Linked DNA regions of Notamacropus eugenii. The protein of the gene in region 4 interacts with the protein of the main gene of each other region in a biochemical or structural test. Links are inferred from orthologs where the notes say so. Each region holds a gene or a part of one and is shown on either strand. Other genes may lie near its edges.

The links.
Region 1: the proteins of TEK (region 4) and ANGPT4 form a complex in vitro, tested with the Homo sapiens proteins (2 studies listed by BioGRID and IntAct). The link is inferred for Notamacropus eugenii from reciprocal best matches to the Homo sapiens genes TEK and ANGPT4.
Region 2: the proteins of TEK (region 4) and ANGPT2 form a complex in vitro, tested with the Homo sapiens proteins (7 studies listed by BioGRID and IntAct, with this or other methods). The link is inferred for Notamacropus eugenii from reciprocal best matches to the Homo sapiens genes TEK and ANGPT2.
Region 3: the proteins of TEK (region 4) and ANGPT1 form a complex in vitro, tested with the Homo sapiens proteins (6 studies listed by BioGRID and IntAct, with this or other methods). The link is inferred for Notamacropus eugenii from reciprocal best matches to the Homo sapiens genes TEK and ANGPT1.

What each region holds. Positions count from the first base shown.
Region 1 is NC_092872.1:432,577,479-432,585,457, forward strand, and holds the start of ANGPT4 (angiopoietin-4), read right to left. Parts: upstream 3,427-7,979; 5' UTR 3,053-3,426; coding exon 2,753-3,052; intron 1-2,752. UniProt on the Homo sapiens protein: Binds to TEK/TIE2, modulating ANGPT1 signaling. Can induce tyrosine phosphorylation of TEK/TIE2. Promotes endothelial cell survival, migration and angiogenesis.
Region 2 is NC_092872.1:574,682,644-574,690,159, forward strand, and holds the start of ANGPT2 (angiopoietin-2), read right to left. Parts: upstream 3,001-7,516; 5' UTR 2,562-3,000; coding exon 2,274-2,561; intron 1,890-2,273; exon of another isoform or gene 1,807-1,889; coding exon of another isoform or gene 1,783-1,806; intron 1-1,782. UniProt on the Homo sapiens protein: Binds to TEK/TIE2, competing for the ANGPT1 binding site, and modulating ANGPT1 signaling. Can induce tyrosine phosphorylation of TEK/TIE2 in the absence of ANGPT1.
Region 3 is NC_092875.1:142,145,760-142,153,881, reverse strand, and holds the start of ANGPT1 (angiopoietin-1), read right to left. Parts: upstream 3,550-8,122; 5' UTR 2,914-3,549; coding exon 2,617-2,913; intron 1-2,616. UniProt on the Homo sapiens protein: Binds and activates TEK/TIE2 receptor by inducing its dimerization and tyrosine phosphorylation.
Region 4 is NC_092872.1:117,273,167-117,281,117, forward strand, and holds the start of TEK (angiopoietin-1 receptor), read left to right. Parts: upstream 1-4,447; 5' UTR 4,448-4,628; coding exon 4,629-4,680; intron 4,681-7,951. UniProt on the Homo sapiens protein: Tyrosine-protein kinase that acts as a cell-surface receptor for ANGPT1, ANGPT2 and ANGPT4 and regulates angiogenesis, endothelial cell survival, proliferation, migration, adhesion and cell spreading, reorganization of the actin cytoskeleton, but also maintenance of vascular quiescence.

The DNA.
Region 1 (7,979 bases), about 320 Mb from region 4:
CAGAGGCAATCTGTCCTTGCTTCTACTCATGTTCAATTCTAGGTCCAACTAATTATTCATTTATAGTATGTCCTATCATGTGAAAAATGGCTAAAGTAGGAGGGAATGTTTAACCTGGGATAGAGGACACTTGGTGCTGGTAGTGGTGGTGGGTGCAGGATAGGAGTCTTCAAGTATTTGAAGGGCTATCCTGTGAAACTAGAGCTATCTGAAAGTGAAACAAGCTATTGAATAAGGTAGTGAGCTCCCCATCATTGGAGGTTTTCAAGAAAAGGTCTCTTTGGGGATGTTTATAGGTGTCATTTGGACTAGGTGGCTTCTAAGCACCTTCTAATGCTAAGATGCAGTTGGGATTCTGAGATACTTTTCATGCTTCACCTCTTATTCCTCCCCACCATGAACCACTCAAAGTCATTTTCTATATCCTCACTTTCCCACCCCCTCCTTTTTGTTCAATCAGTTTCTTATGCCTAAAATGTCTTTTTACTTCTTATTTCCTCTCTACCTCCATCTCTGCTTCTTGAAATTTTCTCCTTTCACTCCATCCTTAATCAATCAGAAATGATCTTTCCATCCTAAAGGCCTCTTTGAATCTCTCTTATGATATTCTATGTCAGAATCACTGTACAATCTTGTATATTTGTGTTTGTGTCCTATGCCCCGTGGTTATATTGGAAGGTCCATGGGCCACTTCTCTGATGATTTTTTTTAACTTCTCTGCTGCTAAGCACAGTGTCCTGAATATGTTCAATACTTAATAACTGGTCTTTGAATAGGTAAGTGGAGGCTTTGATGTAGTAGCTATAAAGCCTTCAAGATCACACATATGCAATCTTACCAGAGTCTCACAACAGTTCTGTGAAGCAGGCACTAAAAGGGTTAACCTCATTTTGCAATGAAGAGATTGAGGTGAAGAGAGGACAGGGGACTTATCAATGACCACATAGCCATAAGTAGCAGAGGTGAGATACCGTGCTATCTCTGCAATGAATATGTAGGAAGAATCTAGGTTTCTGGTCCCCACCAGACCCCTGCCCCTCCCAGAGCCTCATTTATAGACAAGTGATTATAACCTTATGTTTCCCTCCATTTTTTTTTTGAGACCCAACTCATGTGTGACTTCCTCTATGAAGTCTTCCCTAATCCTCCTACCTTACTCCAGAGTTTTTCCTGTCTCAAATTCCACAGAGCAGATTCCTTGGCTCTCTTCTCTGCACTTATCTCTCTCCCCCCTTGTATTATTTATTTGTGTATTAAATCTTCCCCTAATTGGATTATAGGAATCATAAGTTTGGAGCTGAAAGAGAACTTGGAGGCAATCTAGTCTAAACATCCTTCCCCCCTGCTTTTATTGGTGAAGAAATTAAGGTTCAGAGAGGTTAAAGGAGTTAGTTGTCCAGGTCCAGAAGTAGGATTGGAACCCAGGTCTTCCTGGCTCAAGAACTTGGCACTCTATTGGCTATAGCAGGGCCTGTATCTCATCTAGCTCTGTATTCCCAACACTGAAAACAGGACCTACTACATAGCAGGTACTTAATAAATGTTTATTGTATTAAACTGAATAACAAAATGACAAAAATCCCATTGCTATAAATCTGTAAAACAGGGTTAATAATCCTAGAATTACTGTATCTCACAGGGTTGTAGTGAAGTGTTGTAAATAAACCTTGGGGACTATATTGAAGAAAATAAACATCTAAATGATCCTATTTGATCAGGATGTAGTAGAAAGTGCCCCAAGCTGGGACATGAGAACTGGTTTCTAGCTTCAGCTCTGCCACCGACTCCCCATGTGACTTTAAACAAGTCACTGCCCTCTGGGTTCGACAAGTCTCATCTGTAAAACAAGGGTTTGGACAAGATACCCTATAAGGTCTCTGATAGCGCTAATGCTATGCTTTATGTCAATAGCAGTAATGCCAACAATAGCTCACGGTTCTACTGCTTTCACGTTTACAAAGCTCTCCTCATCACCCAGGGAAGTTGGTACGATGGGAATCATTAGGCACTTTAAGAATCACAGAAACTCTGAATCCCTGGATCACAGAATCGCAAAGTTAGAAGGAATTCAGATACTGTCTTGTCTACCCTATACCTGAGCAAGAATTCCTGGACACGTGGACCTGGATCCTCTGCTGGAAGACCTCCAATGATTGGATACCCTTCACTTCCTGCCCTCCCCTCCTCCTCCCTTCTCTCTCTCTTCCCCCCCCCCCCCCCCTTCTACTTCTAGACAGCTCTAATGGTTAGAAGGCATTTTCTTATATTAAACCAAAATTTGTGCCTCTGGAGCTTCCACCCTTTGATCTCATAGTTCCTTTCTGGAACTTAGCAGATTAAGCTGAATCTTCTATATGACAGGCCTCCACATACTTTCTGGGAGCTGTCATGTCTCTCCCCTTCCTTCCAAATTCTGATTTTGCAAAGAGCATCTCAGGCTCCAAGAGGGGAAAGGACTTGCCCAAAGTTAGGAAGCAGGAGCATGGGGACCCAAATGGACCCAGGTCTCCTTTCCACTGCACCAAACTGACTCTCCTAAGGACCCTTCCATCACTGACATTTGATGACTACGGATTATTCTTTCCCCTTTGCTCTTGTCTGATTTTTTTATCCATTATTGACTGTAGAAGGAGAATCTAAATTTCCAAGGGCCCTAAAACTTCCCAGTCCAGCTCCAAGTCCTCGAGGGGCCACAGTGCCCCCCCCCCCTCCTCCAAGCAGGCTCCCCCTCCCTGCCCTTCCCCCAACTCACCTTCAGTAGCCACTGGGTGTTGTTCTCCAGAACGCGCTCTAACTGTTGCACCCTCTGGACTGACCAATCATTCCCCCGAAGTGCTTCTGCTGGGGAGTCCCGCTGTAGGGTATTGGCACTGCTGCCAAAGGCCTCTGGCCCTGATGGGCATGGCTCAGGTTCCGGCAGAACAAATGTGTAGCTGCACTGACCGTGCTGGACCCGGTGGGACCGGCGATGGGCACTGCCCTCGGCCCTCCTCCGCTGGGTGCTCACTGTGGCCACAGTGGTTAGGACTAGGAAGAAGGTGCTGGTCTTCATGATTTGGTTCAGGGCCTCCCAGGTTGTGGAGTGTGTGTGTGTGTGTGTGTGTGTGTGTGTGTGTGTGTGTGTGTGTGTGTGTGTGTGTGTATTGATATATGTGTTTGTGTGTATATATGTATGAGTAGGTGTGTATTTATGTATGTAGAGGTATGTATGTGTTAGGGAGGTGGCACAGTTAAAAACCTTTCTTGGGTCTCCTCTGCCCTTGGCCAGGCTGCTGTCTTCTGTCCCTGGTCAGAATGAGGAGACAGACAGACAGACAGACAGACAGACAGCTGAGGAGCCCTGCCCGCTGAAATGTTCAGGGAGGCTGTGGTTGGGAACCACACAGCTAGGCTATTTATATTCGCTCTAAATACCGAAGCTGCTTCCTCTCCCCTCCACACTCCCCCTCTTCCCCCCACCCTCCCTTCACCTCTATTCTTTCCTCATCTTCCCCTTCCTTCCTCCCTCATTCCCTTGCTCTGCAGTCTCTTCCTCTCTTCTCCGCCCCTATAAGTCCTCTTAACTGTCTAGCAGCCTCCCCCAACGCCGCATCCCAGCAAGAAAAAAAATTCACAAACACCAACCCCAAATCTCTCTTTTCTTTCCCCCAACTCCACTCCCAGAGCTCAGAGCTCAAATTTCAACCTCCCTGCCCCTCCCCTCCCTCCTTCCCCCCCAACCTCACTCTCCCCTATTCACACAACCTCTCCCTCTCCTCCACCACCACTCTGGGGCTTTCTTACCCCACCACCAACTTTACCCTGCTCTTGCTTAGCATTAATCTGGCTGGCCACCTATTGGCCCAGAGCTGGAATGACCCCAAGAAAAAATATTTGGGGAGGGGGGAGGAGGGAAGGAGGCTTTTTTTCCCTCCCTATGTAGGGAGAAAACAATTTGGAGAGAAGAGGCTTGAACCCCAGGTCAGATCCCCAGCTCTTTCTCCCCTCCTCTCCTCACACCATGGACACAACCCAGGAAATCAGTGTGTGATCAGGACCAGCTGGACCTGGGAAGGGTTACAGAAAGAGACATTAAGGAGAAGATGATTCCTTGGCTAATCCACGATGGTCACACACAACACAGTCTTTTGTGAAGAGAGTTTGTGCTCCCAGCTGTGGGGATGGGAGACTGAAATGAGGGAGCCAGAGAGGTTCACTAGAAAGGGAAGTGGGGAGGTCACAGAACACTCTGAGTCTGACTTCTGAGAATCGCTGCTCCACTCTGGGCATCAGTTTCTTCATCTCTCATCAAGGCCTCAGTTTCTTTCTCTGTCAAATGAGGGCACTTGTGATCCCTGCCCTGCCTCCTTCACAGGTGTGTTGGATGAGGAACAAATACAGTTATGTCTGCAAAAGACCATCTTGGGGAAAAAAATGTAGAATGCTGTATATTGAGGAATTTGGTGGACAGAAGACTGGACTTGTCATAAGTCCTGGGTTTAGTAGTTGGCTCTTTTGTTTTCTATTTGTGTGATTTTGAGCAAGTCACTTTACACTGCTCTGAGGGTCAATTTTATCATCTATCTGAGAGAGAGGATTGGATTAGGTGATCTCTAAGGCCCTTTATAGGAAGGAAATAAGCATTTATTAAGTACCAGTACTACGCACCAGACATTGTGCTAAGTACTTTACAAAATCTCATTTGATCTTATTAATAATAATAATAGCTCACATTTATATGGAGGCAGTTAGGTAGTTCAGTGGCTAAAGTGCTGGACCTGGAGTCAGGAAGATCTGAGTTGAAATTGGCCTCAGACACTTACAAACTATATGACCCTGGGCAAGTCACTTAACTTCCATTTGCCTTAATCCACTGGATAAGGAAATGGCAAACCACTGTAGTATGTTTACCAAGAAAACTCCATGGACAGTATGGACACGTTATGATCCATGGAGTCCCAAAGGATCAGACATAACCGAATGGCTCAACAGCAACAGCATGTGTATAGCACTTAACTATGTTCTGTGCGAAGTGCTTTATAATTATCATCTTATTTGGCCCTCAAAATCTCTGGGAAATAGGGGCTATTATTAATTCTGTTTTACAGATGAGGAAACTGAGGTAGATGAAGGCCAAGTGACCTGCCTAGGGTCACAAAGGTCGTTAAGTGTCTGAGGACAGATCTGAATGCAGGTCTTCCTTATTCCAGGTCCAGTAGTCTTATCCACTACTCTACTTTCTACTTTCTCTTTGAAATTCTATCATTCTTTGATTCTGTGAAGGGTGACCAACCAACCAACCAATCAATAAACATTTATTAATTTATTCCTGCATGGCAAAGTCTTGAGGATACAAAGTGAGACAGTCCTTGACCCCATGGAACTTGGGTTTTAATTGGAGGAAGGCTACCTGTTCAGAGATGAGTAAATACAAGAGGTATACAAAATAAACACAGTTAAGGGGGACTGAAGGGTGGAGGGAGCTAAAGCCTTGGAGAACGAAGAAAGGTCTCATGAAGGAGTTGATCCTTGAAGAGGGGCAGAGGGGAGCAAGGAGAACCTGCTGGGCATGGAGGGAAGGGGGGGGGGGGCAGTTCAAAGGTTAGACCAGATGGCCTCTGAGGTCTCTTTAAACCAGGCTATTTTGTAATCATTTCACTCCAAGCTGAAGGCATGAAGGTGGGAGATGGGGGTTTGTATATGAGTTGTTGCAGGTCAGCCACTGGGGCTGGAGCTCAGAATGAGAGAAAGTAATGTGCAATCATCCTGGAAAAAGAGACTGGGGTCAGACTGTGAAGGACTTTAAATGACAAAGAGAAGAATTTGTATGTTATCTCGAAGGGAAGGAACCACTCAAGATTCTTGAGCACAAGAATGCCATGGTCAGAAAACATCAGCATGACAGCTTGAGGAGGATGGAATAAAGTCTCCCTTGGAGAAGGATGAGGGGAGGAGAGGCTAGAGATGTCTACTCTGCCTCCCTTCAGGACAAACACAAGGACCACATCCGCATTACACTATACAAGCAGGCCTCCACCTCGGCTATCCAGAGTTTCTACCTTTTGCCTGCTTTGAACAGAAACCTTTGTAAATGAACACATAGTACCCTCCTCCTGCCTTTTAAAAATTCAGTTCTGAAATTAGTCTCTCATAGTCTCAGTTTCCTCATTTGCAAAATGAGGAGATTGGATTAAAGAGCCTCTGAGATGATTGCATTAAGATGGTAGGGTGGGTTGGGGGAGACTGGATGCAGGGGAAAAAATGAGCAATTATTAAGCACCTACTATGTGCCAAACACCCTGCTAAGCCCTTTTCAACATTATCATGTTTGGTCCTCACAACAACCCTGGGAGACAGGTGTTTTTATTATCCCCATTTTTTATAGATGAGGAAACTGAGGCAAACAGATGAAGTGATTTGCCCTGGGTCACACAGCTAGTAAGTGTGTGTGGCTGGATTTAGGCTCAGAACTTCCTGACTTCAGGCCCAGTTTTCTATCCATGTGCAATATAGCTGCCTCCCTCCCTTGCAGGGAGAACCATTCTGGAGGTATTGCTATAGTCTAGGTGAGAGATGAGGAGGGCCTGGACCAGGGTGATTGTAGTATGAGTCAAGAGAAGGGGACATATAGGAGAGGTATTGATGAGGTAGAATTGACAAAACTCAGCATCTAATTGGATATGGGGGTGGGAAGGATAAGTGAGAGTGAAGGATGACTCTTAGGTTGAGGACCTGGGTCATGGAAAGAATGGTGGTGACCTCAACAGAACAGGAAAATTAGGAGATGGGATGGGTTTGGTGAGAAAGATAATGAGTTCTAAGCCAGGCCTAGACACTGAACAGATGCAGGATTATTAGAGGGATAGGGACAGGGGCTGGCCCAGTGGTTGTCTAGGGAACTCTCAAATGAGGAAACTTAACTCTACTTCTGCTACTAGGCACCTTGTCTGTAACTCAGAGTACTAGAGCAGTGCTTAGGGACCTGTTAAGTCACTTGTCCACCATCCTACTGGGAGATCAGAGGAAGGACTTAAATCCAGGGCTCCTAACTCTAAGGTCAAGTCTTTATCCACAGTAATATTTAGAGCTGAGAGAGACCAGTGCAGTCTGTAGCAAGAAGCAATGGCAGACTTTTCACAGGAGAATAGAGTTTGGTCTGGAAAGACTCTCAGAGGACATCCCTTCATTTTACAGATGAGGAAACTGAGGCCTGAACCGGCTAAGTGACTAAGTGCTCAAGTTTATACAATGTTCATAGTGGGATCTGAACCCGGAGTCCTCTTGCTCCAGGATTCTTCTCGCTGAGCCACGGTGTCTATAGTTTAATCTAGCCTAGACTACTACTATCTAGTTTAAGCATTATTCTCTTTAATTATGTAAGTCATGACAGACTTTATATTTACATATATAGCATTTACATATATATATACATACATGTATTTATAGCATTTAAAATTTGACTTCTGTGTTATATTTTTCAAACCAGTTTCACATGCTTTGTTTCACTTGAGTTCCATGATATCCATGTGAATTCAAGGTAGGATATTAGCATCCAGATGGAAAAATCAGGGCCTAATTCAGTTCAATGATTTGCCCAGGATTCCTCAGCAGCAGAGCAGAGACATGACTGTGTGTGTATTTTATCATACTGTGTAAGGAAGGGGATCCCCATAACAATAGGTGACACCCCACTTTTCTGGCCCCATGGACTGTGTAAACCCAAGAAGGCCACAAACATTCAGTTGACTTCAACACTGCACTTGGTCAAGTTGGTACTTAATAAGTACCTACTGTGTGACAGGCACTGTGCTCAGTACCTTACAAATATAATTTTATTTGATCCTCACACCAACCCTGTGAGGTAGATATTCTTGTCCTTCCTTTTTTTAATGACTCAGGAAATTGAGGCAGATAGAGGGTAAGTGACTTGCCTAGGGTCAGGTCAGTATCTAGGGGAGAGAGGAAGAGGATAAGCATTTATTAAGCACCTATTGTGTGCC
Region 2 (7,516 bases), about 460 Mb from region 4:
ATCGCGTGGTGGTTTTTTATTTGTTCTCTTGCTTCTGTTTGCCAGCCAAGTGTAAATAACAATACCAGGGAGTTTTTCAGGTGCACTTTCTAGGTCTATTAGATAGGGTTAACAGAGCAGGTGTTAAGCAGATGCAAAGTCAATATTAAGTCACTCTAGGTGATATTTTAGCTGGATGTCTAAAGGCTGCATTCTGGAACACTATTGTATTTTTGTTCAAATATTTGATAATTATATTCATGAGTAAAGAAGTATTTTCACTGGTTGCCCCATAAAACTCTGATTTCTGGAACCTGTAAAATAGGATTGAGGTTAAGCAACTCCTGGAATAGGGTTGCTTAACTTTTTCCTTCATTAAACATTCTCAGACTTGTAGGAAAACTGGATATTTGGCTGAGAAAGAATGATTAGATTTAGTTACCTGGAGGTGGCCTTAATTGTAGCAAATACAATTAAACTATGTTGTATTTGTAAAACAATCTTTTATATCCCCTGACTGTTTATTTAGGAAATGACTTACTAGCTGGATAGAAGGGAGTGTTTACTGCTCTATTTCTTTCATCCCTCACCGAGGTTCTGTTAGTATTGGCCTTTACCCATGTCACAGTTAAAATGAGTAGATTATTAAGTGTGAACATAACAATGGAAAGAAGGAAATAGGAAGCTAGTGTCAGGTAGATATTTAGGACTTTCAGATATGTGAGCCTGTATTGCTGAATATCGCCCAAATTTAGCTGAGCTATTTGTACATACAGAAGTGTAAAAGGTTTTAAAGATAAGAAAGAATAAACCTTTAGCAGAAAATATACACAGCTGATGTGGCTCTTTTCACAGATGTTATCATCATGGTGGGAGTTTTCTAAAAAATTGAGTAAGTTAGTATTGCCATCATTTCTTGGAAGTTTTTAACTAGTTAAACACTGTTTGAACCAAGAACTAGTTCAGCTGAGGAATAATGGTGAGGGGATGCATTCCTGTATAGATGGGCTCCTACCTTCAGTGCCATTCGGTGGTTTCCCTTATTTTAAGTGGATTCACAGCAGGGGATAAAAAGCCAGGCAGATATCTGTTATGAGATTAAGATGTGATAGCTGCTAATAGACAGCTGAAAAGGAAATTAAATATTTCTGCTCTAGATGGAGAAAATACTTTGTGATATTTTCCTGGGTGAAATTTTGGTAGAGAACTGACAGTTACCTCGGTTATTTGTATAATTATAAATGACATGTCTCTCCAAACTGTGACATTATTTCCATCACACATGCATAATTATTATTTTATTGAGTACTATATTGAAAACATTTTTTTCTTTTTCTCAGTAAAAAGAAACTTTAGAAGGTTTTGGTTTTCTTATCCATGAGATAAAATTTGCATGAGGAAATAATTGCTTCTTGAAGAACAACTTAGCTTCCAGAGTGCCTTTTTTATCATACATTTCTTTCAAAGTTTGTGGCACAGTGAGAGAGTGAGAATAAGAACAAAAAGAGTGAGTAAAAAGCAGCAGATCTTTACACAGCATAAATTCATCTCTCTGAAACTAACATCAAGCACATGTGGACCTATTTTGAAAGCAGTTTACTGGGTTCTAAGAGAAATACTGAATCCCTTCAGAAAGAACACTTGACAAAAACAGTACAAACGGTTTACAAACGACAGACCCATTGACTAAAAACCCTAAGTTTCTGGAAAACATAAGGTCTATTTAAGTTAATTTCCTCTCGTTTTCCAAAAAGCTATTATTGGTTTCAGTAAATAAATTCAGGAAATTGGTAAAGCACTTACTCCAGAAGGTAACGTTGCCACCATCCGCTATTTATCAGTAATTATCATGATTAGCACGTTTTTTCCTTGTCCTGGCGCTGTTGTGCTGCTCACCACTTCCCTCACATGCCTGCAGCCAGTTATGTTAGTAATTGTTGTTACTAAGTTTAAATTGCTTGTACAAACAAAACAGCCTAGTTGTTTTGCAGAGAAGTATACTTACCCTCCCTCCTGCTTACTCCATGCCACAGACACGCACACACACACACACACACACACACACACACACACGGCCCTTTAACACTGACTCTCCACCTTGGAGGTAAATCTGCTCATTTTTCATTGTGGTATCCTTTTCATGCAAGCCTAGATGAGATTATGCATTGAGATACAGAAAAATAAGTGGTAGTTCAAAGAACTGTCTTTGGTGAAGCTTGTTTTGTTTATTAGAGCAAAAAGTGAAAACAGAACTTTGGTTTTTCATGCAACCATATGAATTGTCATTTTCTTACCTTCATGAGCCACTGAGTGTTATTTTCCATGATGTTTTCAAGTACTTGCAGTCTCTGCACAGAGTCATCATAATCCAATGGGGCATCCCTCTGCACTGCATTAGACACATAGGAGCTAGAAGTAGAGCGGCAATTATCCATCTCTGGCAATAGGAAGGTATAACTGCAGGATCCATGCTGAACCTGATACTGCTTCTTCCCTATGGTGTCCAGGCTTTTCCGAAAGTTGCTGTAGGCTGACGCCAAGACAAGATCATAGCTCAAAGTAAAGAAAACAATCAGCCACATACTTTCGTTCAGGGAGAATGCAGCCAACTTAGCAAACTTCAGTGCACTTAGGAGTCCAGATCATTCATTTGTCCTCTGAAATGCTGTGCTATGCTGTCATGTGTAAAGTACACTCTTGACAGTCGATGGGTTCCTGCCCCCACCCACCTTTTCTACTAGCAAATTTGATTTCAAAGCAAAACAAAACAAAATGCTGCTTTCTTTCCAGTCGTCCAGTAAACGGTGAGATGCCAGCAGAAAGAACAGTCCTACTCCAATTGTGTGTTCTGGCTTAGCTTTACAAGTAAGCTTGGGTGTTTCTTCTGTTTCTCTGGAGCAAATTCTACAGTGTCGGTATCTGAATCAATCACTTTCCTTTCCTTATATGATAAGTTGATAAGAGCAGCCAGACATGTGTAGCTTAACTGCTCCTCCCTCTTGGCTTCTCCGTTATCTTCCTGTAGGGGGGTCACTCACAAGGCAACAGGAAAATCAGAGCTTACTGCTGTCCAGCCAATACAGTATGAGAGAGAAAACCTCTGGGAAAAACTGATCAATTACAGGACCCCTGGGTATTTTATAAGCACCACCCTAACAAAGTATTTCCTAAACTGAGCACCACAGCCCTGAAGCTGGTGTAATAGTGTTACTCTTCTAAAATGTTTTGAGTTTTTAATTTTGAAGTACAATGAAAATTCCTGTTTCCTCTTTTAAGTAAAAAGCTACAGATATATCAGGACTTTGGTTTATGTTAACTACTATAAATTAAAAGGAAGAAGTTTTGCTAATGTAAACTCTAAAAGGCCCACCCTTTCATAAGGAAAACAAATTGCCAAGTTATGTGAATTCTGAACCATGAGTGTTTTGCCTAAATATACTGAATCTTAATGTAAAAATATCATTGAAGGATTGGATCATTTTAGTAAATCAGTTTACATGGGTCAGTGACTTGGCCCTGACTTGGCCCTGAAAATTTTTGTTTGTTACCAAATTATATTTGGAATATTCAAAGTAAACTTGGAGATGCCTTGTTGAATTTCAATATACCATATGTGTTTATGTATATATACATATATATTATATAACATACATATAGCTTAGAAATCATATCATTTGTTAGGAGTAAAAGACCAAACATGCCACTTAAACATAGTAATTACTTTAAAAGCACACATACCACCCACACCATTGTGTTATTTGGGATACGCCTGGTCAGATCAACTCCTCTGTCACTAACTAATTGTATGATCTTGGGTAAATTATTCCCCTTCTAAGCTTCAGTTTTTCTCTAGCTATAAAATAAGAGAACTGGTTAAAAAAGATCTCTAAAACTGATCATTTTAATGCCTACCTACTTTGGGCCAGACACTGTACTACACTAGAGCTGCAGGTTTTAAAAAAAGAAAAAGGTTCCTTCTATCTTCAGAATTTTGAGGGTCAGTAAGTCTGTCCAGAGGCTGAAGGAGTAGAATATTTATTCCATTGTACAAGATAAACAATTGGGGATTTTGTTTTTGTTTTTGTTTTTTTTTTGTTGTTTTGTTTTTTTATCTTAATTAGATATGGAGTGTTTAGAAGCTGAAGGACTAACAGATTTGGAGCTTAGATTCCTGAGATAACTTTAAAGGACTAATCAGAGGACACTGAGGGTGGGGATGGGAGGGGGGAGCTCTTCTATTCTGTGAATTCATTCCCAACTTGTTTCTCTCCGAGTTATATCTGGAGAAAAGAGATAGTTGATTCTTCCAATTATTTGGTGTTTAAATCCTACTGAGTAGTGACGGCAGACACAGTTAGAGGATAACGTAGCTATAGGCAATTTCAACTTAAGGCATCACTAACTCAATGCTCAATTCACCTATATTCATCTCCCTTCAGATAGAAACACCTACTGTTAACCTCAAATGGGCTAAATTTGGATTGGTGACCCTAATTCAAAGACTCAGGTTTTTATTCCACTACCCCCTTATCATAGACCCCCAGGGGTGTGGAAGCTGCATTCTTGAGGTTACATGTGACCTTCTAGGTTCCCCACCCCTGTGTTTCCATGACTATTCACTGGAATCGTTACTTGTTTGTATGTGTATATACATATATCTGTATCTATCATTCTATATGCACACTCACATATGTATACATACACACGTTTATACATATTGTTCTATGATTAGGGGATCATAGATCAAGAACTGAAAGAGATGACAGAGTCCATCTAGTGTGACCCTCTCATTTTATGGTCAGAGAAACTTAGGTCCAGGGAAGCAAAATGATTTGCTCAAAGTCATACAGGTACTAAGCTACAAAGGAAGGATTTGAAATGCAGGTCCTCTGACTCCAAATCCAGTATTCTTTCCATTGCACTATCGCTGCCTCCTTATGTTGTATTATATTATATATATTAGGTTAGACGATATGTAGATGTGTGGGAGCGTATATGGTGAACACAATACTAGTCTCTTACTAGTAATTGGCAAGAAAAAAAGGAATAGCTACAAAGCCAGGTTTTCTTCTCTTCCCCTGCCTGTGAGTACAGTGAAGTTTCTGAGGACTTACAAGCTAAATATGCATAGTCCAGATCTCCTTCTGGTGTTCCATAAACTTGATTGTGGGGCTTGAAACTGGCAATTATCACAGAGAATCTGAAGTTATCTCCAGTGATTTGTTGATGAAAACTAGAGGCAGATGAGATTATAAAATTTAAAAATACTCCTTCTGACTTCCCCAATCAGTCCAGGCTGCATTGCCCAACAATTTTCTTTTCTCTAGCTCTACTCTAGCTTTGAGTTTTGCTATTTATATAATCATGTTTGTTTTCTCTCATACACTACATCTAGTCAGCTGTGATTTTTGGCTATTTCCCATTATCATTTGTAAGAACATGACCAAGTTCTCTCTGTGCCTTTTATTAGCTATTAGAGAGGGAAATCCAACTTGATGGGCTCTAAAGAAATAGCCATTCCTCAAAAGAAAGGGATAAGCTAAAAACAAGATTAAGTAGGAACCTTTAGCACCTTACCTCTTTGCTTTGGCTTCTTCTATATAAAGCAAAGTTACTAAAATGTGGGTTGTAATCAAAAAGAGGGGAAAAAATGGTACAGTGGATAAAGAATCAAGAAGACCTGAGCACATCCCCAGCCATATGTATGACCCTAGATGAATCACTTAACCTTTCAATGACTCAACTCTCTAAAATTCTTAAGTGCATAGCAGTTGCTGATCTGCATTAGTTGAGAGTTTCCTTACCAGTTCTGTAAACAAAGGGAATCACAGATTAGAACCCTGACACTCCTGCCTGCCCCTCCAAGAAATCGAAGGTGAAATAATTTAAGAACTAGGATTTTGTATCACAGGATCATAGATTTAGAGCCAAAAGGGATCTTAGAGATTCTCTAGTCCACCTCCTACTTTTTTACAGATAAGGAACTGAAACCAAGAGAGTTTAAATGCCTCATTAAAATACAGCTAGAGTTTAAGGTGGGATTTGATGTCCACTATTCCTGGGTCCAAGGTTGTCATTACTTGCTTAGTCTGTTATGCCATACTGCATTTTATGATCACAGAATCTAAGAATGGAACAGGACTTGTCTCTGACCTCAACAAATCGGTCATTCAACCCTTTAGATATTTGAGATTATCATGGCCTCTGGAAGTCTTTTCTTCTCTGAACCAAAGGTTACAAGTTGCTTCTCTATTGATCCTCATATGGCATAATCTCTTCCTCTCCTCATCTTGGCTGTTATCCTCTGATCCTCTTCCAGCTTTTCGGTACCCTTCCTAAAAAAATGTGGTTGCCAGAACTGAGCATGTTATTCCTCATGTGATTTGATCAAGGCAGAATTTAATCAAACTATTACATACTACCTCATTCTGGACCATATGTTTCTCTTAAGGCTGTCTACAGTAGCATTAGCTTTTTCAGTTTCCATGTCACATTGTTGACCCATCTTGAGCAGGAAATTCATTTAAAACACTCCAGATCATTTTTGCAGCAATTATTTTCTAACCATTATGCCTTCTGCCTGTGATTGTTAACGTGATTTATAGAACCTACATACAATTTCATTTTTTTCAATTTAATTCATTCTACTAATCTATTGAGACTTTTAAAAAAAATCTAGATTCTGCCAATATGGTAACTATTTCTCCCAGCAAAATTGACAAGAATGACTTCTATGATTTGGGTGAAGAATAGATTCTTCAAAAACCTTGCACTAGAGCTTACCATCCATGTGTCATCAACTCATCAATAACTATTCTTTGAGTCTAGTCAATCAAACAATTTCAAGTCTACCTAAATGCATTATTGCCTAGATCCCATATCCCTCCATTTTGCCAAACATAAGAGACTTCATTCAGTGTTTTGCTAAAACCAAATATATCATGTCTACCTGATACCTCAAGTACGATATACCATATCAACCTGATCTACTAGCCTATAAAACTGTCAAAAAAAAGAAAGAAAGAAAGAAAGAAATTTGGCAAAGTTTTGCTAATAAATGTTTAGCAACCAGCCCTTTAGGGAAAAATGTACACCCAACACATTTTTAGATTTAACTTCCTTTATTACCGTTTTCTTCATCTCTTTCTTAAGCCTAGAGGCAGTTAGCAAAATAATAAATCGAGTCCTTGTTTCCAGGGTACAAATGCTCACAATGGAAATTTAACAGTTAGCTTTCCCACACTGATTTGAACTGGCTTCAGCACATCACTGAAATTAATGAAGCTATGCTGATTTTTAGTGACCACTGCTACCCTTTCTATGCTGTTACAAACCATCCTTTTAATAATGTGTTCTACAATTTTTTTTCAGGAGTATACTGAGTCAGGCTTACTGACCTATCCTTTACAGGTTCCATCCTCTTTCATTTTTTGAAAATCTGCATAACATTTGATTTTCTCAAGTCCCATGGCACAATTCTTGTTGTCAAAGATCTCTGAGATTGGAATCACATCTGCCAATTCTTACAAGCCTATTG
Region 3 (8,122 bases), on a different chromosome or scaffold from region 4:
AATTTTCTAGTTTCCAGGAAAATCCTAGCATTAAGCAGTTTTTTTTCTCATTAGGGTCTATTGGATGCGTTTAGGTGATTGCTTGATCTTCCATTCAATTAAATTAACAATGACAAGCTATAATGTAAATTTCATCCCACCACACTCCAGAGAAGCTGCTAGAGTCATAGCAGAAACATTTTCAGTAAAGGTACAATTTTACTGACATAAACTAAAGGTGAATACATCCAAAAGTTTTATATATTTTCTGAATAAATGTAAGTTTGAAAGAGAAGATTCATATGCATCATTCCTCAAAATTATAGGTTATGCTTGGAAAATATAGTAAAAAGGAAGACATGATCAATTACTAAACAAAATGTGTTTAATGTCACTTGAATTGGTATGATAACCAAAATTCACATGTTAACGCTTAGGTGGTCCACATGTCCAAATGATAGAATAATATTATGAAAAACAGGTTTCCGCAAATGTGTGTTGATATTTTGTTTTCTCATATAATCATTACTTTTCCTGTTGCAAAAGAACAGAAAGCAAAACACATTTGTTGAAAGGAATTATTTGCTGAATTTGAATCTTCAGCCTGTGGTCTACTAATAGTTACCCTGATTGCTATTAAATGCAGAGAACCAAAAACATACATTACTATGTTAATATCATCATGCCCAATGCTGTTTATAGTACACCTATTTTTGAAATATTCCAAGCAAAAAAATGCACTTTTTTTTTAAAGAACAGGTAACAGAAAATACTTTTACAATGACCAATTCTAATAAAAGAATATATGGAGAGTATATTAATAACTGGGATACTATACAAGTCAAACTCATTTGCCTACTGTGGGCCTCCCTCTTGAACCAGGAGACAACTGGAGAAGGATCACTGCTGCTTCTCTATTCAGGCTGGTTTGAGATTTTGCCTGAAACTTATATGAAGATTATTAATGATGAATGGTTTAAATCACTACTCTCTTTCTTCATCAACTTTTTTTTTTTTTTTTTGTCACCTGTGGCCTGCTGATTTGCACTTGTATGGGATGAGAACTAGTTTCAATTCCAGACTTTAAAATCCTAGGTCTCCTACTTTGAGGTTTTTTTACATGCCAAGAAAAGAAACAGTGATCTTAGTTCAGTCCCTAGTGGAGAAAAGCAGAACAACAAACCTCAAAGGCATGATGGAGAAAGCAGTTTACTCAGGAAGTGTGACCACACAGACACAGATACACACAGGCATGCACACACACACACACACACACACACACACACACAATAGCATTCTGTCTTTTCCATCACTTTTCTGCTCAAATGTTTTGAACCTAACTTGGTTTGAGAAATCTGGTTGCATTCTGATCTCTGTTTTCTAAGTGATGACATAACTATTGTAAAGCCAAATGCCTAGATGCTGGAACACATTTTGTTGAAACCTGGAGACAGTGATATGGCCAATCTCACACATTCAGTAAAAATCATCTATTGCCACACAAGGAAAACCACAGCATGAGACACAGCCATTAAGGTGATACTATTTGAGAGGTGTCTTCAGTTAAGACCCTCAAGTAGCCAACCTTCTGTCTAGACATGTCCACTGACTCAATATGATTTTAAAAACTGGAATAATTTCAGTCAATATTTGCCCCAAAAGGTGTAATCTTGTCATCCAAACACTCTGTAATCTTGCTCAGTAGAAGTATATCTAACAGTTGTGCCAAAAAAGAAAATATTTTTCATTTCTCCAGGATTGAAGAACTGAATAGGTACTGCATCCCATCCTCTGCAGGTGCACTGGTAAGTTAACAGCCAATAGCTGCTTGACTATCCATTCAAGATTTGGGTGGATAACCCACCCCTAATGACTTCTATCTTAAAATCTCTGATCTTACTGTTTTCTCAAGTCTAGAATTATCATAGAACAGAAATGGTTACATTACCCTTTAGGATCATTTCTAGAAATTAAACACTTGCAATTTTCACTATTTACACTTTACAAACATTCTTACTTTATACTTATTTAGTGGTAAGTCAAAAGTTAATTTATGACACTTTTCCTTGCCGGTGCTCAAAGAGATTTGATGTGAAGTGGATTTGCTTTTCCTCCATCAACATTCTCCACTCCAAAAAGAAGAGTTTGTAGTCATTCCCCCACTCCCGAAAAAATAAAACTTCTTCTTAAGAGCTACTACTCTTCAATTTAGGTGCTGACAGTCAGAACATGGAGGCATGTTTTGGTGACATTTATTCTGAGGTCCTAAATGAGAAGCACATTTTCATACTTGTGCCATCACTGACAGCTCTGAGGGGACCGCGCACACCTGGGCTAAAATCTCTGTAAACTCACCAACTCTAAGATCTGTGACACCCCGTTCCCCACCCCCAACCCCCCTTCGCCAGCCAGGACAAGCTGGAACAGTCTGATTCCCCTGCTAAGGAAGTCCCATACAGAAAGCAGCCCTGCAGTTACTTGAGCGACTGTCTTTCCCCCAAGCAACATGTAAACAAAAGTTCCCTTCCCAGCCGCTCCCCCCCTTCTCCCCCACCACACTGAGCAAACTAACTTATCTGCAGGGCAAGCCTGGATAAAGGACTCGAGTACAATGAGAAACTGAAAGCAAGCACTTACTTTTTGCAGCCACTGAGTATAGTTTTCCATCACATGTTCCAGATGTTGCAGTTTCTGGGAAGAGAAATCCGGTTCCACGAGAGGAGCATCTCTCTGCAGCGCGTTGGTGTTGTACTGATCCGTGGTGCTCTCTCGGCAGTTAGTGTCCTGCTCCGGCAGAATGAAGGTGTAGGCGCACTGTCCGTGCTGAATCCGATTGTATCTTCGCCCGCTGCTGTCCGGGCTTCTCCGCTGATTATTGCCCCCTATGTGAGTTAGAACAGCAGCAAGGAAAGCAAAGGAGAGGAAAACTGTCATGGTATCAGCACCTTTCTTGTCTGCCTTGGCACAACTTTTAGTTTTGTTTTTTTTTAACTACCCCCCAGTTACTTCTTCCTTCGTCCTTTAACCAGTATTTTTTTTTTTTATTGCATGTAAAAAAATGCTTTTGGGTGGTTTTTTGAAGTCAGCTCTGAAAGAAGAATCCTAGAAAACGATTCATTTGGTAGCTTTAGCTAAAAAACTTTTCAATTTTATTTCACTGGAATGATAGCTCCCTTCGTTAAAAGTTGAGATATTTATTGCATGGTAGCGGAGATTTATTATTTCCTTTCTGTGTAACAGTTCAGCACTGTTCAGCCTGTTGTAGCCAGCAGCATGTACACATCCTAGCCCCTTGCCTCTACCCTATCTGCAGCCGGACTGCTATTTTCCCTCCGACCTCAGTGAGTTTTATTAAGGTTCCGCTTTCCAGCCAAGCTGGAAGCAGGCAGCCTTTCACAAGATGACTTGACAGGAATGCCTGAGTGTGCCCCTATGCTAAGGACTGCCGACAGCTTAGTGCGGGAGGGATCGTCTTACAAATTGGCTGGATGCGCATGACCTCAATCATGTATAGCTGCCCGCCCAGCCCCTCCTGCTCGAAAAGCAGCGCTCAGTCTTTCAGGGACTCTCAGAGAATCGAAGCATACAGCAGTCCACCTTAATATACTTTGGGTGTTCCAGCCCCGACCTATTAAAACCTGGCATTCTGGAAGTATCTTGTAAGTTCCAGTTAAATATTGGGAGCGCTGAAAGAAAAGTTCTTCCACTACGCTTGAGGAATCCTTTTGGACAATGTTTATTAAATTATATTATTTTCAAAAGTTTGTTAACTTAAGAAAAGATGTTTTAAATTCATAATTTTTTTTAAATAAAAGTTTAGCCTTTTGAACGTATTAAGCTTTCTCAGATGCCAAAGAAAACGGGAAGGAGGGGGCCGTGGGAAATCGAGTATAAAGAGTTAAATGATTTTATGTCTTGTTCCTCAATTCTCCACCTCCCCAATGCATGCTAAATAGGATAAGCCCCCCGTGGGGTTTTGTGGACTTTGGGGGGCAGGGAAATGGGGGGTGTCTTTCTTAAGAAACTGCCTACTCAGAAGGCAGTTTTTCTTTGTTCTGTGTACATAAATGAAGCAACTTCCTTGCAAAAACAATGTGGTAACAATTTAGGAGAGTGTCCTAAGAATTATTAATTCCTGTGGTATGTCCTAATCATGTATATCACAAAGACCTCATTGGGGGTTGCTATGGTTCTCCCTAGCTCTACTATCCAAGTTCCACATAAATCCTCATTACGGCTGTAGTGACCTCTTCTCCAGAGATCTTACAGCAAGAAGGGCTACAGCTCAGTAGCAAGAGAACTTAGATACACCTTTTAATGAAGGAACAAGTTTTAAATGAAAAAAGTTCCAAGAAGATAGAGCATAAGCTTTCCAAATCAAATAATAATCAGTGAAATGTAAAGTACAAGTGATACTAAAGGAATTTTAATCAGCATGTAAGAAAAATGGATTTGGTATAACACCATGCTTCTAGTGGGTATGATGCAGTGGAAAGTGAAGTTTCTGGAATCAGAGGGACCCGACTCAAATTTTGGCTTACCCCTCATTACCTCTGTGACTCTGGGCAAGTTACAACCTCCTTGGGCCAGTTTCCTCATTTATAAAAATCAAATAGTTGGATTAAATGAACTCCAAGGCTCCTGACAGCTCTAAATCTGTGATCCCAGGATTTTAAAGGATTTATAAACAATGCATCACCACAACTGCAACCATATCTTAAGAATAGGGTGCCCTTTGTGTAAGCAACAGAATAATTAGGTCCTTCAGATGAGAGAAGGGGAGAAAGAAGAAGCAGAAGGGAGGTAATGACAGTGGTTATGTCTGACTCTTGGCATTTTCTTGACAAAGATACTGGAGTGGTTTGCCATTTCCTTTTTCAGGTCATTTTACAGATGAGGAAACTGAAACAAACATGGTTAAGTGACTTTCCCAGAGTTACACAATTTAGAAGTGTCTGAGGTCAAATTTAAACTCAGGTCTTCCTGACTCCAGGTCTAGGGTAAGTGTGAAAGTGTAAGGATAGTTTGTGTAAAGGAAGGGTTAAATCTGGAATAGCAGTCAAACTCCATGCTTTGGGAAATTGGTACTAGGATTTATCCCTTCTTATCATTCCTTAACAAACAAATCCTTGGAGATACAATCAATATAGAAAGAAGTTGTCGTGACATTTTAAAAAAATAAAGCAGTTATGGCAGTAAAAATCTCTTTACTATCCTTGGCAACACCTTTATTCTGTCTCCTGTTTACTGAAATTTCACACACATAAACAAGAACTATCACTGTATTGTGGTGCTAGAAGGCACAGAAATTTTTCAGGCTGGATGAAGTGATAGTCTCCTGTTTGCAAACAGACCTTCATGTTTAAAGCAGTGTATGTGCTACCTGAAAGAGCAAAGGTTAAGAGTATTTTGACAAAAAAACCCCTTCTTTCCAGGAATTGTAGTGTGGCAGAAAAAGCACTGGGCTCCAGAATCACGATTGTTTTTCAGTTGTGTCCAACTCTTTGTAACCTGTAGCCACAGCACGCCAATTCTGTCTATGGGGTTTCCTTGGCAAAGATACTGACATGGTGTGACATTTCCTTTTCCAGTGAATTATGGCAAACAGAGGTTAAATGACTTGCCCAGGGTCACATAGCTAATAAGAGCCTGAGACTGGCTCTGAGCTCAGGTCTTCCTGATTCCAAGCCTAGATTTCTATCTACTGCTTCACCTAGCTGCCTCCCAGAATCAGAGTGTTATATTCAAATCCTGCCTCTGATATTCACTACTTTATGATCTTAAACCTTTATTGGTCTCAGTTTCCTGGGAGGTTATACTATGTGACCTTTAAAATCCCTTTCAGCTCTAGATCTGTGATCCTATGATTAATTTTTGGGGTGGGAGAGGTAGATCCCAAATTCAAAAAATAATATGAGAAAGCAAAGCTTTTCTAAGAAATCTTTCTTATAATCTTTGCTTTGAAAGTTATTCATGAAAAGGAGACTCCAAAGCTAACACCTATAAGTGCTTTGCTAAGAACAAAATCCAACAAATAATTGGCAGAGGATAAAAGGATGATCAATATTCCTCACTTATAATTCTCTCATGTATTTAAATAGCCAATACTTACGTCAGTTCTTGCATGTATATGTGTGTGTGTTTGTGTGTGCTCACATCTTTGTGTGTATTCATTTGTCTTATCTGAATGAATGACAAGTGGGAAATTCCCAGTATGGTGCAATAGGAAATGGTTATTCCAAAAAGAGGCATCCCCAGCTGCTGAGTTTTCAAGGGAGGAAACACTCAGACCATTTGAAGATGTGACTGTCACCAAGTCTTCTTGATTCTCCACACTTGTCTCATGCATTATTCTCCTCTCCATTCATACAACCACCACCCACCTCAAATCCTCAACACCTCTCACCTAAACTATTTCATCAGCCTCTGATTTCCTGTTCTTGCTGTATTCCCAGCCTCTCCCCTCTCTAGTCTAGCTTCCATGCATTTGCGAAAATGATCTTGCTGTAATGCCTTGGGGCACCTCAGTTCTTATTGTGGATTCCCCAAATAAGTCTTAAAGTCTTCTGTGACGCAGTATCTTTTCAAGAGCATATCCCACAAGCGTCCATCACCATGCTTTCTTTCTCTGGTCATACAGAGGACACAACTAGTTCTAGGAAAAGTCTTTCAACAAAATTAGGGTAACTTTTAAAACTAGGGTGCCAAGCAATAGAGTAGTTTACCCATAAATCTGGTTCAGACTCTCCTAAATACACTGCATCATTAATGTGAAAAGGAGAGACATATATAAGAAACACATGGTACACAGTCAAAGAACAAGTGTGGCCAACCAAGGCTCAGAGGTGGAACTAGGGCTGTAGAGTCATGAATGTATTCCAATGATATTGTCATGCTACCCGCACTGGGCTTGCTCCACCTTGTTCTTTCTGATGCATGTGTCTTTTCTGCCATATGTGTAGTCTTGGCTGCTTACCTAGTCTCTGATGAACAGGTAGATATGGCATGTAGTTTCTGATGGGCATTTTTCCTTCCTGGTCTCATGTGGTAGTTGCCTAATGGAACCAAAAGTGGTCCCATGGTTGCTGCTGGTCCCTGTGAGGCCCAGCTGCAGTGGACATGAGGCTGTAGAATTGGCTGTGCTTCTAACTTCTTGATTAACCTGGAGTCTTTAGCTGCAGTACTACCTTCCCTAAATGATCAAAAGCCTAATGGATCCAAGATCAGCCCCTCCTTCTCCAGCCTCAAAATTCTTTTGCTCTTCCATGCAAGTAAATTAGAGGGAGAAAGACATAAGAACAAATACCAAATCTAGGGGGTGAGGTTATCATCTTTCTCTTGCCTAGCAACATTCCTGCCTTTATTAGGTATATATATGGTTGGCTCCCCCTCCATTCTTAAAGCAAAATCTGATATGTCCTTTCTCTGCTGAAAAATCTTAAATGATTCCCTATTATAACCTATAGGTCAGAGATTCTTAATCTTTTGTATGTCACAGATGCTTTTGGAAGTATGGTAAAGTCTATGGACCCCTTCTCAGAAAAAAAATACAAAAAAAATATGTCTCAGAAAAATATTTACAAAAACTTAGAAAGGAAACCAATTTAATTAAAACAAAAATGTAATTTCCTCTCCATCTACACTCACTGATCCCCTTATGACAAGTCAAGGCAACAAACACTTATTATTTAATTGCTACATACCAGGCACTGTTCTAAGTACTGGGGATACAAATTCAAGTAAAATATGATATAGTTCCTGCCCTCAAGGAGTTTATATTCTAAAAGGGAAAGACAACACACAAGAGGAGTTGAAAAGCAAAATGGTGGCAAAGTCAGGAGGAAAACTGAGAGAAGCATGAAGAATGGCTTGCCTGGGAACCTCCTTAAAATGAAGGCTGTGTGGAGGATTTACCACTGGGAGAAAGCTACTGGCATTTGCAGAGGGATGTTCCAGGGTAAGAAGTTAATAGATTTCCCAGGATACAGAGGTCTCAGATGCTGAGGCAGTTTAGTCATCTTGATGAAGACTGAAAAGTCCTGAAATCTACCAACGGAGCCCAAATTAAGAATCCTGGCTATAGGCCAATAAACAAATTCCTTATCCTGGCACATAAAATCCTTCACAATTGGTCTTTGGCTTG
Region 4 (7,951 bases):
AGGATGCAGGCTCCTGGGTAGCAGTGAGTGATTTTGTGATTCTTCATGATTTTGTTTAAGAGACCCTGTTTGTGATGAGTGTAATGGACATGGTTTATGGGAAGCCTAGCAGAGGAAAGGCTTGGAGATGGTATTGTCCTCTGCATTCTTACTGTGTATAGATTTTTGTTGCTGTGATGGATTTGGGTCTGAATAAATGTTCTGCCTTCTTTATAGAGAGCCTGTGGTATTTCGTAATTCTGAATTGCACCCCAGTATTCATGACTGCTGTGGGTGCTATGAATATTGCATTGGCACTACAGTCAGTCAATAAGTATTATTAAGCCTTTACTATGTGCCAGGTACTGTGTTAATGATGGGGATACAAAGAAAGATAGTCTCTGCCCTCAAGGTGTCCATAATCTAGTGGAGGAAATAATGTAACGATGTACAAACAAGTTCTACACAAGGTAAACAGGAAATAATAATAGTGGGAAGGGACTAGAATTAAGGGGAACTGCTACAATCTTCCTGCAGAAGATAAGATTTTAGCTAGGACTTGAAAGAAGAAGACAGGGAAGCCAGGAAATGGAGATGAGGAGAAACAACATTCCAGGCATGGGGAACAGATTTTTTTAGATTCTTTCCACTCCACACCATGGGCAGTTAGGTGACACAGAGTGGATAGAGTGCCAGGCCTGGAATCAAGAAGATTTATCTTCCTGAGTTAAAATCTGGCATCAGACACTTACCAACTGTGTGATTAAGCTTAACCCAGCTTATCTCAGTTTCTTCATCTGTAAAATGAGCTGGAGAAGGAATTGGCAAACCATTCATTATCTTTGCCAAAAGAACCCCACATGGAGTCACAAAGAGTCAGATGCACCTGTAAAACAACTGAAAAACAACCACCACCATCACATCTATTCCTCTGCATGCCCTACTGTGTGTATATACATGTGCACACACACACATATGTACATTCAATGAGAGTAGAACAACATGAATCTCTGTTAGTAGCAAATAAACCACCTCCCCTGGTACTATTGTTGGAGGTATAATACAAATGTACGGTGGTTATTCAGCAAATGTAGTTTGTAGAAAAATATTATGTGATTCCAAGTGTGCCTGGATTGTTACTGTTATGCCAGAGCCAATTCAGGATGATTCCAAGTCGGATCTTTCAGGAGCTGGCATTTAACAGTGTCTCTAATAAGCTTGCTGTTTTAAGACAGTGATGATTGTGGCATCTCCCAAGCACAAAAACTGGAAAATGGCAACAACTCTGGAGTCAAAGGACCAGGGCTCAAACCTTGCTTCTGTTGCTTATTTACTGTGTGACATTCAACAAATCACTTAACCTCCCTGGGTCTTAGTTTCCTCATCAGTAAAAACAGGGTTTGAACTGAGGTCCTTTCCAGCTCGACATCTATGAGCCAATGGCCCTTCTCCATTTCCTTGAAAATTTTGTCGTGATCTCTGATTCAGTGACTTTCAGTGCTCTGGCTATGGAATTGATTTCCTTAAAGGTTGAGGGGTGACATTCATATTATTGCATGTTGGCACAATTTCTACACTTTGTAGATTTGTGAGGCAGGAAGCCAGAGGAAAACTGACTATACTCTCCTTTGATTGCCTTCCCCTCCCATAAATGATTTAGCTCTCACACGGTATAGCACATCCAAGAAAACATCCTTCGATTCTTAAGTAAACATGCAATAATAACACTAATAATCATCACTAATATTCTTCAAACATACAAAGCCCGTTTGGAGAATTTCTGGAAGATTTCAGAAGAGGAGGCATGATAGCACGTTCAGGCTCCAAAGAACTTGACCCATTCTAGGGAGTGTTAATAAAACTTACTTCCTTGTTGGCATATGAAAAAACAAACAAAGGAAATTTGGCCTACTGGGTAGAACAGGGGCTAGGAGGCAGGAGTCCTAGGGTTTGTTTATTTCTAAGTCCTTCCACTGCCTCCCTATGTGGCTTAGAGCCAGCTCATCTCAGGACATTTCAGTTCCCTTATCCTTAAAATAGAGAGCACACTTCTGACCTCCTAACCTTTCATAAATGCTATGAAGATGCACATTACAAACATATTTGTACCTTCTTTGAATTGCTCTTGGAAAGTACAGTAGAAATATCGTTAATGGAAATTTAGGTACTTTATTTTCTCTTTATGGTCCCAGAACCCTAAACAACACCCCAGAATTAACCTCAGACAAGATTTCATAGTATCTTAACTTTCTTTACCTTACTTTTCTTAACCTTGCTTTGGTGAGCCTGAAAAAAAGAGGCATAAAGAGCTTATGCCTTATTTATGCTACATATTTTCTCTCCACTTAAGTTATAGGCATCCTCATGGAAATACTATTTTATCATCAGGCTAAGACTGTCATTCCTGCTTTCACTAGGTGTTTTCATTTTAAATATCCAAATAGGCTATTGTATTTACTTTTTGACTCTATTTCTTCTGTTCACAAATTATTAATCCAATTTTAAGCTATGCTTTGATGTTCTTATCTCTGACCAACCACCACCAACAGGACAGGCAAGCCAGCTTAGCTGAAGCAGCAAGACATCCTGAGGAAGAGACAGGAAACAGCATACAGCAGATGGGTCAAGCAACCACTACCACCTTGAGCACCATCCCCTTGAAATCAAGTAGAAACAGAGCTCGAAAGCCCCAGGAATTTTGTTGCCCCTCCCCACCAGAAAACAGATTTCTATTGTAAAGGCCACAGTTATCACTGAAGGAGATAACTCTAGTGCAAAGTAGGCCAGTCATCCCTAACGTTACTAACAATTATTGAACGAACTGCTGCCAATGGATAGGTAAGCCTAAGAGCCCCAGGAATAGTGATGTCCTCTAGACCATCAACCCTGCTACCAGCCTGGACCCCTCATCTTCCAGGCAAAAATGTAGCTGTGACCTATTAATTGCCTCTATAGGTGCTACATCCCCCACCACCTCAGCAACCATAGCTATTGAAGACTGAGAAAATATGTTTTGTCCACCTTAGCCTTTTAAAATAATTCAGCATTGGAAACAGATATAGTTTTATCACTCTCCTACTATAACCATCTCCTTTGCAATTACATTCTAAAGACTATGAAGGCAACTAGGTGGTGCAATGCATAGAATTCTGGTCCTAGAGTCAAGAGGACCTGAATTCAAATAGGGCCTCAGACACTTCTCAGCTTTGTGACCCTGGGCAACTGACTTAACTTTTTCCTGCCTCAGTTTCCTTAACTATAAAATGGGAATAATAGAATAGCACCTACTCTTAGGCTTCTTGTGAGGATCAAATAAGATGTTATCTGTAAAATGCTTACCACAGTGCCTGAAACATAGTAGGTACTTAATAATGCTTGATCCCACCTTCTAACTTATAGCTGAAACCTCCTGTGTGTGTTGTCTCCCCCTATTTGAATGTGAGATCCTTGATAGCAGGAACTGTCTTGTTCTTCTGTTTGTATCCATAGCACTTAAAACAGTGCTTTGAACATTGTAATCACTTAATTTTTATTCATTCATATGGACTCATTTTTCTTGTATGTTTGTAACTTATTTTGGATTTCCCTAGAAAATAGTGGCTTATAACCACAAAATCGATTGCACAAATTACCTTGCTCCAGGACCTAAAGAGCCACAAATGAATTTTAATGAAGATTTAAAATACAGCTCACAGCACTGGTATCCTTAAGCGTTTTTCCAATAGATACAACATCTGATTAATGGGCACTGTGGTGATGTAGAAAGTAGACAGACTTTGGAGTTAGAGTATGTAGCTTTGAACCTACTTCTGTCACTGCATGAGTGACCTTGGGCATGCTGGGCATACCGGACTTCTTTGGGTTGAACTAGACGGTCTCTAAAGCTCCACCCCGCTCTAAATCCTGTGATTCCTATGACATCAGCAAGTTGTAGGGAGAAAAGGGAGGATTTGTGCATCATGTAAACTTTGGAGCTAATCTAAAGGCTACCCAGACTGATATCCCCACCAATGACAATTATATTAGATTCAGATAGGATTCCATAGTCTCAGCATATAAAACTTCTTTTCAAATTTAAACCATGTGGAGCCAAAACATGTTCACCACACCCCAAAAAAAGCCTTTGCCAGGGAGTTAAGTGAACAGTAAGGGCCTTTGGGAACAGCGAACAACTGGAGAAGAGATGACCATCATCACATACCATACGTAGGTGGAGGGCTTGTTATTTCCAGGATCCTGCCTACCAGAGGATGCTCCCATTGTTTCTGACAATGCTGACCGTGACCCATTACTGGTTCTCTAAATACAATTCTCTACCCCAGAAGCAGGAGCAGAGAAGTGTTTTGATGTATTGCAAGATGGACAAGGCTTGCGAAACCTCCCAGTCCTGCTGATACCAATTGCCTTTAAGATCCAGCCTTTCCTATCCTAATCTACAAAGGAAACAGGAAAAAGGAACTTCAACTCCCTGTGCTCAGACAGCAATGAGACTGTTAGAGCCTGCTCTAGTGCTTCTCTTTCTTGCCTCTAACGTGTAAACAAGATTCCCTAGAATATGCCTGTGGAAAGTCACAAAGACCAGGGTTGGTGAAGGAGCATTGGGAACCCATGTGTGGCTGTGGAAACTGGATGGAGAGATTTGGAAAAGCATGAACTCTTTAGCCCGATTAGTTCTTTATGGTGTCAGCCTGATCATTTCAGGTAAGGTTTGTCTTTACTTAGAGAAATGCTGAATTTTCCTGGAACTTTCCCACTGAATGTGATTTTCAATTGTCCCCCCACTAATTTAGCTGGAAGTATCTGAAAGTTGTGCCAATTTTCTGTTACATTTAAAATTTTTAATAAAATCGGTGAATATTAAAATGTAAGACATTTATCATGCCAGTTAATTTTTTAGAGTGCTGTTCTGTCCTAAGGGTTATAATAGATGGTGTTCCATTTTTGGTCCTTTGAATAAACTCAGCTAATGTTACATAGCTTTCGCAGCAACCACTTTTGTAATCTTTTAGTTAAAGATGCATCTACTTGCCTCTTACAGGAGCTTGAGAGATGGAAAAAGAAAATTTTCAGTGATAAATGCAAAAATAATTTAAATTCCATTCTGAGCAAAACAACTACCTTAAGGTTGAGAGAAAGTTATAATCATTAAATATGCATAGAAATTATTAGATCTAGGGTTTCTGTTTATTTCTCCATATTTGACCATAGCATTAGTAAAAAATTGGTTTTGATTTTTGGTGATGGAGGTTTATAAACTTTTCATTTAAAACAATAAAAAAGTCCACATTTCAATTTATAACAATTCTTAGACTGTCTATACAGATTAAAGTGAAAATTAGGCAATTATTCAGAAAATTTAGAGGAGAGGGACAAACACATTACTTTAAAAAAAAAGATTGGTTTTTTTTTTCAACTTGGATTTTCCAAATGAGCTGCATTGGATACTCACATTCCTAAGATATTAGGCTGTCTCTGCACATCAAGTTGCCCGCATAGACAGCCAGAAAGGAATAAGGAAAATCTGATATGCAAATCACAGATGTTGTAAGCCTCAGTAATTTTTCTTCTTTCTGAGAATGAAAAGTAAAATAGGATAAAAAAGAAATTTTATAGGATTGAAAGTTACTATATGGGAATAAAAATTACCCCAAAGAGGTGACATCATAATTTAACTCTCTGTTTTCTGAGTTCATTCTTGGTGAATTATTTTTAGATGAAATTTTAGGAAAAATTAAAAGGCCTTCATAAAGAAAATTATAAATCCATGAAGAAAAAGAAAAATTTACACAAATATAGGCATATGTATGTATATCCATGTATATATACTTATGATATATGCAAATATATAACATATATATATATATAAACTTGTTTATATGCACCCATGTTAAATGTCATATTCTTACAGTCATACTCAGAATCATTGATCCTTAGATGTTATAGACAATTATGGCCATATGTTATGACAAGCCACATCTTCAAAGGCCTAATCACTATCACCTCCTTCCCTCCCTGAGAGTATCACTTTATAAAAAAAAATGAACTTCGGCTAGAGAGGTTATTAAAGTTTTCTGTATGATGGATCTCCTTGGTAGTTGAGTGAAGCCTATGCCTTCTTCCCCTCCCCCATCCCAGTATGATGATTTTAAATGTATAAAATGAAATGCACATTTAGGTGAAAATAAAAGAATAGGGTTTTTTCCCCCATCCATGTTCAAAGACTGCCTGAAATCCATCCTTGGATCACAAATTAGGAATTCGAGGTTGACTGGGAGTAAAGCATGGTGTGAGGCACCTGGCCAAGGCAAAAATCAATAAGACATAGTTCTTGCTTTTAAGAAACTTTCAGTCTAATAGGAGGAGACGTGGATGCAAACAACTATGATAAAAGATAAAAAGTCAAAGTAGACAGAAATCTTCAGAGAATGGGCTCTTTGACTTTAAAGGAGGGTAGAATCTCTTCCAACTAGGCTTCAGAGAAGGGGTAGCTTTTGAGTTGGGCCCTGAAGAAATGGTAAAAAGTTAGTCAGCTGGGTTTATGGAAAAGAAAGAGCATTCTGCAGAGGGAAATATGAGTAAAAACATGGATGAGGGAAGCATTGGCTATCCTTTGGAAATGGTGTGTGGTTTTGTTGGTGTACAGCATAAATAAGGCATTATAGGAACGGTTACAGGAGACAAGATTGGAAGATCCAAAGTGGTCTTTGAACTCCCACTTACAGAATTTGTGTAGTACCCTCCTGAGCTATTCTCCAATGTGTAAGTGAAAGGGGAATAACTTTTTTTTTTAAGTACGAATGGGTCAACTGGAATTTCATGCTGCAGATTTTCAAGCTACAGATTCAAACCCCTGAAAATTCAAGAGGCGAATCCATATATCTCATAGTTTTTCTTATCGGTCTGTTATTTCTTTTAATTTCATGAAGTGGATTTTGAGGACTCAACATCCCTGGATCAAGGCCTTCTCACACCTGGTGGAGAATGGGAACATGTCTCTATGCATTGACAATAAGACCTGTGATTTAGAAAGCAATATTCAAAATAAATCAGACTGGAGAGAGATGGGAAGCACTGAAACCAGTGAGGAGACCTCAGCAATGCTCCAACACTGAAATGAATGCATTGCCTTATGGATTTGGGAGTTTCCTATAATGACATGCATCCTAACCCATCTATGGCTACCCATTTTGTAAGACCTTTGTCCATGCTCCTCCCTAAGTCAAACATTGGGACCTACTCAACATTTGGGAGGCCTTCCTCACTTTCTCCTGACACTGTAAGCGTATCAGTGGAGCATTCCAGCTCTTCACATTTCATGTTGCTCCTGAAGATTCTTTCCTGTCATACATTTCCTTGAATACATCTTTGCTGTTGCTCTTTGAAGTTCCTCATTGGTTAATATATTGCAGCTTGATTACTCCCACCATGGACCTCTACATTGCCGTCTGTGTCATATTCATTTTTAACCTTTCTTAAACTGTTATGTTTCATGTCTTGTTGTCACAGAGCAATGCTGGTAGAATATTTAAAAGATGGTCCTTTGTTTCCATGGAAAGTCTGGGGACACTAAAGGACTTTTTTTCATTTCATTTCAGCCTACTTTTCTCCTTTTTAACTCCAGGCCCAATTCATTGTCCATTCTCTGTCTCAGATATACATCTTTAAGGACAAGCTCTTCAGGTTTCCATCTAAATACATTTGGGAAAATAACATTTTTCATCCACTTGATTTTTCCTGTGTGGATAGTCAGGCTAAATTCCTTTGAGTAGTTACAGATCTCTTCCAAAAAGTTCTGCAGCATTACAGAGTATAGCAATAGCATAGATGAAAGCTAGCAAGATTTCAACTAATATAAAAGGATTTGAAATAGGAGGGGATAAATATTAAAGATTTGGGGAGAAGAATCAAACTTTGGTGACTGATTGGATGGGGAGGGAAAGGGAAAAGGAAGAGTCAAAGACAACACCAAGGA